Oryzias latipes: one gene and its partner. The protein of the gene in region 2 interacts with the protein of the main gene of each other region in a pairwise test. Links are inferred from orthologs where the notes say so. Each region holds a gene or a part of one and is shown on either strand. Other genes may lie near its edges.

Evidence for each region.
Region 1: the proteins of nmt2 (region 2) and acbd6 interact in binary tests that used the Homo sapiens proteins (3 or more experiments, as listed by UniProt). The link is inferred for Oryzias latipes from reciprocal best matches to the Homo sapiens genes NMT2 and ACBD6.

The regions. Positions count from the first base shown.
Region 1 is NC_019862.2:32,225,286-32,229,104, forward strand, and holds part of acbd6 (acyl-CoA-binding domain-containing protein 6), read right to left. Parts: intron 3,481-3,819; coding exon 3,375-3,480; intron 2,352-3,374; coding exon 2,262-2,351; intron 1-2,261. UniProt on the Homo sapiens protein: Binds long-chain acyl-coenzyme A molecules with a strong preference for unsaturated C18:1-CoA, lower affinity for unsaturated C20:4-CoA, and very weak affinity for saturated C16:0-CoA. Does not bind fatty acids. Plays a role in protein N-myristoylation.
Region 2 is NC_019874.2:17,903,502-17,908,044, reverse strand, and holds the start of nmt2 (glycylpeptide N-tetradecanoyltransferase 2), read right to left. Parts: upstream 3,056-4,543; 5' UTR 2,952-3,055; coding exon 2,839-2,951; intron 2,456-2,838; coding exon 2,338-2,455; intron 1,045-2,337; coding exon 903-1,044; intron 1-902.

The DNA of each region.
Region 1 (3,819 bases), on a different chromosome or scaffold from region 2:
AACAACCCAAACAATCCTCTGTTTGCGTCGTAAAATGAACCAAGTTTTCTTTGTTTTGTGTTGAGGAATTTTGGGGCCGTTGGAAGCAATATAAATACTCATTACATTTTATTCCCAGCAACAGGAAATGGCGTTTTTAATTTCCTCATCTCTTTGTTTTGCCTGCAGTGAAAAGCATTTTATGCATTTTCTACTTAGAAACATAGGATTGTGTAGGTCTTTCATGGTGTTTTTCAAGGTTTGAAACAGAACTTTTCTAAGTCCTCACTATCAGTTTCTTGAATCTTTTACGACCAACAGTGATGCTGAGGTTCTATTCTGGACTGAACCGTCTCTTCTAACCACCAGTGTATGGTGGAAATGTCCCACTGGTCCTGCTAACATCTCTTTTTGAAACGTCTGTTAGTGTTTGTTGCACGTTTTTTGGTCAAAGTGTCTGATCCAAAAGAAAAAGAATACGAAATGTAGAGATAGATGCTTTTAAAACATTATGGGAAATAAAGAACAGTCTGATTCAACCTTTCCAAATTCCTACCTGTGAAAAGATTTATGCTCCCAGCTGTGACTGCTGAAAACTCCTAGCACTTAGGCGCATTAATTCAAACTTTAATGAGGAATACATGACTGCAAATGTGCAGCATCATGGGAGGAAAAACAGGCAAAACAGCCTCTATCTGGACATCGGTCCCCCTTAGCTGTCATTATCTTTATATGGCTGTAAATCATCAGGGAATTGTTTTGTAGTCATCTCCCTATTACCCCCTCCACCCCCCAGCAGGCATCCAAGACCAAAATGCCACACATGACCACAAAAGAGAAAGCCATTTGTGAGATGTCCTGATTATGCGGGTTGTGCAATGTGAAACAATTTGCCTGATTACTTCCAATTGATTTGTTCTCCCAGTTAAAACCTCGCCGCCGAGCAGCGTGGCGAGATGGACTTTGGCGTGCGGCTGGGCAGGGAAGAGGAGCAATTTCTCCAATGTGCAGCTGAACCGGCTTACGGCTGAAACTAAAGCCGCCTGCGTGCTGCTAAACCTTCAGAGCCTAAACAGAAGGCTAGCTACTGGCTAACTGTGTCTGCTAAAGCCTCGGGGGATTTGTTTGGGGCACAAAGTGAATTAAAGGTGACCTTCTAAAAGAGATGGAGAGGATGGAAAGACAGAAGGACGGCGGAGAGGAGACTGTTGGCCCATGGTGTCCCTGTACATCTGCTTCATTCTGATTCAGCTTTATGCAGAACACACTTTCCTGTGGTACGAAACCTCATGGTGCGTCACATAAAATAAATGTATACATAGTAATGCACCACACATGGACGTCCAACTAAAAAAAGAAGCAGTCCATAAATTAAAAAAATAAAAAGCATAAAAAAGTGAAGAGGCAGCACAAGAAAGTGTCAAACAAAGCTATATTTGAACCTTTTTCCTTTAAAAAACTTTTAGAGCTTCAAGGACCATAAAACTCCAAAAGTGATGTAGAGTCTGGTATTTTCACTCCACTCCTCATTCAGACTTAGTTTACATCGTAGCTGGGGTTTGTTTTTACAAATGGTTTCTTTAAAAAGACACACTGATGAAAATCATGTTTTTGGTGTTTTTAAAAGGTTTTTGTGGCATTTTTCTCACCCATGTAAAAAGAAGATTTAATTTCAAATTGCATTTCTGAAAATATCTTTATTCAAAACATTGTGAATCAGGAGCAGACAAAAAAACTACAATTGAAAAAGCTGGTAGCTGTGATGCAGAACGTACTGTGGGCGGGCCACAAGGTCGCTGCCCCGCCCCATTCCGACTTATCCACTCGCAGATGAATACAGCGTTCCCCCGCGTGTTCACGGTTCAATATTCACAGATTTCAGCTTACCAATACATTTTGATTAAAGTTTGTTTGATCGATGTTTCTGGTCATTGAGACGACATAATCATCAGGAAAACACCACTGGGATCCAGAGATGATCGGAGTGGGACTGTCCCTGCTTCTAAAAGTCCAAAGCTGATGACCCACTTTGTCAAACTTTATGCCTAATCTTCAAACATGTTATAAATTCCAGAAAAAACTTTCCTAATTTAAGGACTTTTGACTACTGATGAATACATTTTCCCAAAAGAAACATTTAAACAAATATCTCAAATTTGCTTCATAAAATGTCCCATTTAAAACAATAATTGTGTTTGTTTGTTTAATTTTTATTGAAACAAATGTTTATTATGTTTAGTCTGGGTTCTAAAAAGGCTGAACAGCAGAGACCTGCATCTCACCTGAAGGTTGATGTCTGCTTTGTGCTGCAGCAGAACCGACACCAGCTCCTTGTGTCCTCGGTCACAGGCCCAGTGCAGGAGAGCGCGGCCCTGCGGACACCAGCAGAGCGGTCAGCCGCTGCAAACTCAATGCCCCAGAGGAACACAAATGCACAGAGCCTCCTGCTTTTCTTTTACCTGATGTACGGAGAAGGAGCAGTCGTTTATTAGGATTCACCTTATCGGTGAAACGGGGGGAAAAATGGAAAAGTCCAACACACAGTGTGCCAGTGAACATCACACAGGCGTTCACTGGCACCCCCCCCAGGTCTGGATCCTGGTTTTCTAATAACCCCCCCCCCCCCCCCCCCCCCCCCCAAAGCTCATTTTTCAGCAAGGCCGATTAGTGAAAGTCCAGTTCTGTGCTCACATCATATGGATCACTGGGGGGGCCGCTCTGCTATGCCCCCCCTCAGGTGTTTTAAGGCTGACTGGTTATTTTTCAGCAGACCAGTTAGCTGCCCCCCCCCCCTCTTTAGCATATCACTGTTTTCCATTGTAATCAGAAATGTACTTTCATCAGAGACGACAGTTCACTGATAATAATATACACATTTCAAATAAACCAAATATTTTTTACTAATAAAAATACTTTTGTCTCAAACTAATTTGCACAATTTTCAAACATTTTTCCGTTATTTATAGTTAAAATTAAAATTACTTAAAAAATGTATTACATGATATTAAATGTACATATTAAATCTACAATGCAAATTGGTTCACTAAAAACTACAGTTTAATGAAAATTAAACTTAAAGTGCTAAACAGATATTTTATTTTTCCAGATTTCGTTTTTTCAAACCAAACCATCAATTCTGTTTGTGTTTCAGTTCAACAATGAATGTGAAAAGAAGAGGAGAAGTGGGAGGGTTAGGGTCAGGTTGGCGTCTGCAGTCAAACTTCACCACTGCCCTCTGTTGTTCAGCGAGCTGAGCTACAAGATGGAGAGCTGTCAATAAAAGCTGAACACAGACAAGCTTTGACCGTGAACTCAGCAGCTGACGATCAAACGTTTCTGAAACACCTCACATGAGCAGCGGCCGTACGTTTGCAGGCTGAGCTCCGTGTCTGTACCTCCTCATCTTTAGCATTGACATCCACTTTCTGGGAGCCGATGGCATCGTTGATGTGGTCAATGTTGTTTTCTCTGCAGTAGTCAAAGATGTTCTTGTCCTCCTCCCTGAAAGCCATAGAAGAAGAAACAGCAGCAGGTCAGTCAGGACATCACATTTTTATCAGCTTCAGGGCGGGTCTGGTTTGTTTCCACCGTTCTCAAAAGAACTGCTGGGAGAGACTCCAGCATTCCCAAGACTGAACTAACAGAAAAAGGAGGGATGGAAAAACCCCAACATGCGGCTTGCAGCGACCTCCAACTGTTCTGTGTAGCTAAAATATTCAGATGCAACGGTTCACTTTCCCCACGGATCAGTTCTAACCTCGATTCTTTGGGTTTTGTTTCAGTTCCATGAATGATTTGTGTTTTTACAAAACAACAAAACCTGAAAATTCTGAAGAATTT
Region 2 (4,543 bases):
TACCTTTAGAAAAGAGATGTGTAAAAACATAGTGTGTATTACTCACCCAAGATAATAAGCAGTAGAAAAAATGCTTCAATTTTTTTTTTTTTTTGGTTTGTCAAAGACGCACTCCAGTGAAAATTCTGTTTGTATTATGTTCTAGTGACATTTTTCTCATAATGTAGGAAATATATTTAAAACATTACCCTTAAAAAAGGATTTCTAAGTATTATTATTCAAATCGTTGTGAATCAGCAGCAGACATTAAAGTGCCGTCTGAAAAAGCTTGTACTTGTGACTAAGAAGCTACAATAGACGGGCCACAAGCTCCTTGCTCTGCTCCATTCTGATCCATTCACTTGTAGACTAATAGATCCATGCACGTCTTCTTTTTCTTCGTCTGGTGTCTGGCTTAAAACTGTACGGCTGGATAGCTCTGATATTGCTCACCATTTTTGTTACACCACTAATGTTAGGTATGGGTTGTGAGGGCCTGTGAACTAGCTGGAGAGAGTGTAAACGGATGGATGACGGAAAATGGGGGCAGGCTTACTCCGCTGTAAGAGGTTAATTTCTGTTCTGCAGACACTATGTTGTAGAAAACGACGCAGGCTAAGCATAATCAGAATTAAAAGACCATTGGGAACAATCAAAAGATGATCTGACTGGGACTTTAAAGAGTTCAACTAAGTTGATCCACAGTGTGTATCCTCCTATGAATGATCAAATTTAATTCAAACTTAAAGTAGCAAGGTTCGTGTATTGTTAGCAGATATGTGTATTTAATTGAATAAATGTTACTGGTTTGAAAAACATACTGTTAAGGAAAATTGATCATTAGTGGAGACAGATCTAGTTTTGTACACATGTCTAAAATGTCCAGAACACATTAAATGTGTCTTTTTTATTTTGGTACTTACTTAACTTCGGGACAGGCTGGGTGTCCCAAAACTGGTACTTGTGCTTGGCTGCTTCATCGATACTCTTCGCTGGTCCTTGGCAGGAAAGCAGTTCCATGGCTCTTTGAATGTCCTGCAGCTTCTGAATGGGCAAACCAGGGTTCTAACAGCAAAAAGGAAACAGATTTGCAGTGTGTTGTAATGACAGCATGATGCCATTTCCCCAAGAGTGAGTTCCCGCACTTCATTAAATACATATATATGAAAGCATAAGCAAAACACAAAGTTTAACATAGTTACAAAAAACCCGACAGAAGTTCAAACTATTGCTAAATCTTCTTCTTCCTCTTTTGGCTTCTCCCATCAGGGGTCGCCACAGCGAACAAGTCGCATGGTAAACTTGGCAATGTTTTACGGCGGATGCCCTTCCTGACGCAACCTTCTCAAACTGGGCTTGGAACCGGCACAGAGGTAGAGAAGGGAAAAGGGAGCAGCCCGGAGTCGAACCCTGGTTTCACGGACGGAAGGCGCCGCAAACCAGCACGAGCTAAACCAGCTCCCAAATTATTGCTGAATAACTCTGCAAATGTATTACATTTACTGCAGTACCAAGGATGTTGCAATAAACTTCCTCTTAAATATAAACTCGCCCATGAAGGTGCAATTAAATTCTTATATCACACATTGTGCAATATGATGTATTTACAGTAAAAAAAAAAATTTTTTTGCATCCTTGAAGGCACACCAAATATTTAAAGCCCACTCCGATCATCTTTTGATCTTTCTTAAAAGTGTTCCCACTGCTCTTTTAATCATGATTAGGCCTTTTTTCGTCAAAAATTGAAAAAAAAACTGTCGTTTTATGTTCATCACCGTGAGATGTTTACCACACTTCCCATCATCCATTTGTTTACACCAGCTTACAGCCCCTAACAACCCCAACCTAACCTTACCAGTGCAACAAAATTGGTGATCGATTCTGGAGTCACCTAGCAGGATCCCAGTTCAGACGAGGAAAATGAAGACGCACATGGATCTATTTGTCTACAAGTGGATGCATCAGAATAGAGCAGAGCATTGAGCTTGTGGCCTGCCTTTTCAACAGCCTTTTTCTTTCGTCTGCTCATGATTTAAAACGGTTTGAACAAAGAAAGACTAGGAAATACAATTTTACGCTTAATTCTTTTCATAAATGTCCTCCATCATGTTAAAAACAACATGATAGAGGACAAAACAACATAAAACACAATTTTCATTTAACTTGGGTCTTTATAGCAAAATTCAAAGTTCTACATGTTAAAACATGTCAAGAACGGGATTTCCTTATAATAAAGTATAAGTTGAAAGCATAAAGTAGGAAGTTCATTTCAAATGTCGCAAACGCGTTTCACTTGAGGTGTTTTGTTTATGTATATTATAAGAAATGTGTGCAAATGTTCTTGTATCAGCATCACACCTTGATCTCCTGGGAGTCAGAGGCAGAATCAGACTTGGTTCCCCCGGAACTCGGCTTCTCTTTCTTCCTCTTTTGCTTCTTTTTCTTCCTCTTGGCCCCCAGCTCTCCTCCCGGACTGCTGTGGATATAAATGAGGATGGAGCCGCAGAGCATCAGTGAACGGAGGCTGACTTCGCAGGACTCACGCGCACGCGGAGCTAACGTTCACTTCCATAGCAACGAATGACAGCTGAGCTACTTCGTGCGGGCTAACTAACGGTTCGTCCTCATGAATGGCGGTCATGCCGTTCAGTTGGGACAGCAACTGTAGGGGGGGACGCCAAAACGCACAACATACTACAAAGGAAAAGCATTCGCTATACATTTTCTACGTTTTACCAGCTTTACGACATTTGCGTCTGCTAACATTAGCAAGCTAACTGTGCTAGCCACTCACAAACTGGCAGGGGGAAAAAAAACATTATTGCGTTTCACAGTCGGACAGGACAGGCCACCCCTCACCCCTGCATATGTTCATTCTCTTCCTCGTTGTCTCCGTCTATCCCGCAAGTATCCTGGTCGTCCAACTCCAGGCTCTGTTGACTGGCTGCGGATTCACTGTCTTCCGCCATCATGAAACAGTTTATTTAAAACAGGCAACGTTAAATTAAGAGCTCCCGGGAAATGGGCGAGAGATGAAAACACAAAGAAAATGTCGAAGGAGTTGGCGCCCCCTATAGGGAAAAATTAGGCAAACAAGTTTTCAGCCATGGAAATGTTTTATGTAAAAAACTCAAAAATGTTCTCTGGCCAAAATTAAAAACGATTAAAAATGTTTTTATTCTTTAAAAAAAGTAAAGTAGTTTTTATTTAATTTTTTTGAATAAAACGTATGTTAATTTCTTATAACTAGGATGCACTGTTGCAGTTTTCTAGGTTACTTTAGTAAAATAAGTTTTATATTGAATGACTTTTTATCCAGTTAAAACAAGTAAATTAAAATAAAAAGTTACTTTTGATGATTTTTATTTGTTTGTTTATAATTTTACAATACATGTCAAAGAAAGACAAATAAAGAAAACTCTTAATTGTTTTTCCAAAAGAAACTAGTTACCAAGTAGTATTCTAGAGGATTACTTCCTACTTTTACATGTAATGGCGTATTCTTTTAATAATAAATAATCATGCCTACATAAACATTTTAAAAACCTTTTTTTTGCCTCTCACCAACAGAGTGACAATATTATTTAAATTGTTCAAATATTTTCCTTTCAGTGTACTGAAAAAGGAAACCAATGAAAGCTGCTTTTTGTAAACATCCCCAAGGAAGCATGAATTTAATGTTAATTTTTTTATCATTGCTTACCAATGCAATCCTGGTTGCAATGGTTTCTGCTGCGGATTTAGGTATTCATGGCTGTTATAGATTTTTGTAGGCAAGAGAAAATTACTCATACTCTCCTCATTCCATCCGTTCATTGTCCACGTCTCCTGGGGTGGCTGTGGTGCAGAAGTAGAGCAGATGGCTTCTGAATTTCTGAAGTGACCTTGGACAAGACATTAAATCTACATTTGCTCCTGGTGGTTATAGGCTGATGCCAGTGTTTGGGAGCAGAGCCACCATCACTGTGTGAATGGTACTGTGACTGATAAGCGCTTTATATACGCCATTTACCACTTCTGATTCCCATTGCAGCGTCACAGAGATGCTGGAGCCTATCCAGCTACAGTCAGCTGAAGGTGTTGTACATGTCTGATACTTATCCTGGTCATCAGATGGCCACTAACAAGACATTTAAGAATCCCCATTAAACCTATGAAGCATTTTTTTAAGCAGTGGGAGGAATCCAGATTGCCTGGAGAAAACCTACACATGCACGACGAGAACATGCCAACTCCACACAGAAGGGTCCCAGCTTCCCAGCAGGGTTTTGAATCAGGATCTTCTTGCCGTGAAGTGAGCGTGCTAACCACTACACCACCATGCAGCCTATGTATGGTTGATTTAGATAGTTTATCTTGCAGGTGAAAAAGATGCAAGTGAGAAAATTGACATTTTGGAAACTGAATCTGAGGATGGAGTTCTGAAGTCTGATAGTTTGCACCTTGAATTAAATCTGCAGACTTCACCGAGCTCTACAGCAAGTATGTTTTTTTTTTTAACCAGTTGACTTAGTGTGGTGTCAGGACTACTACCTCTCTTGAAGCTTGTTTTCCTGGGCATCCC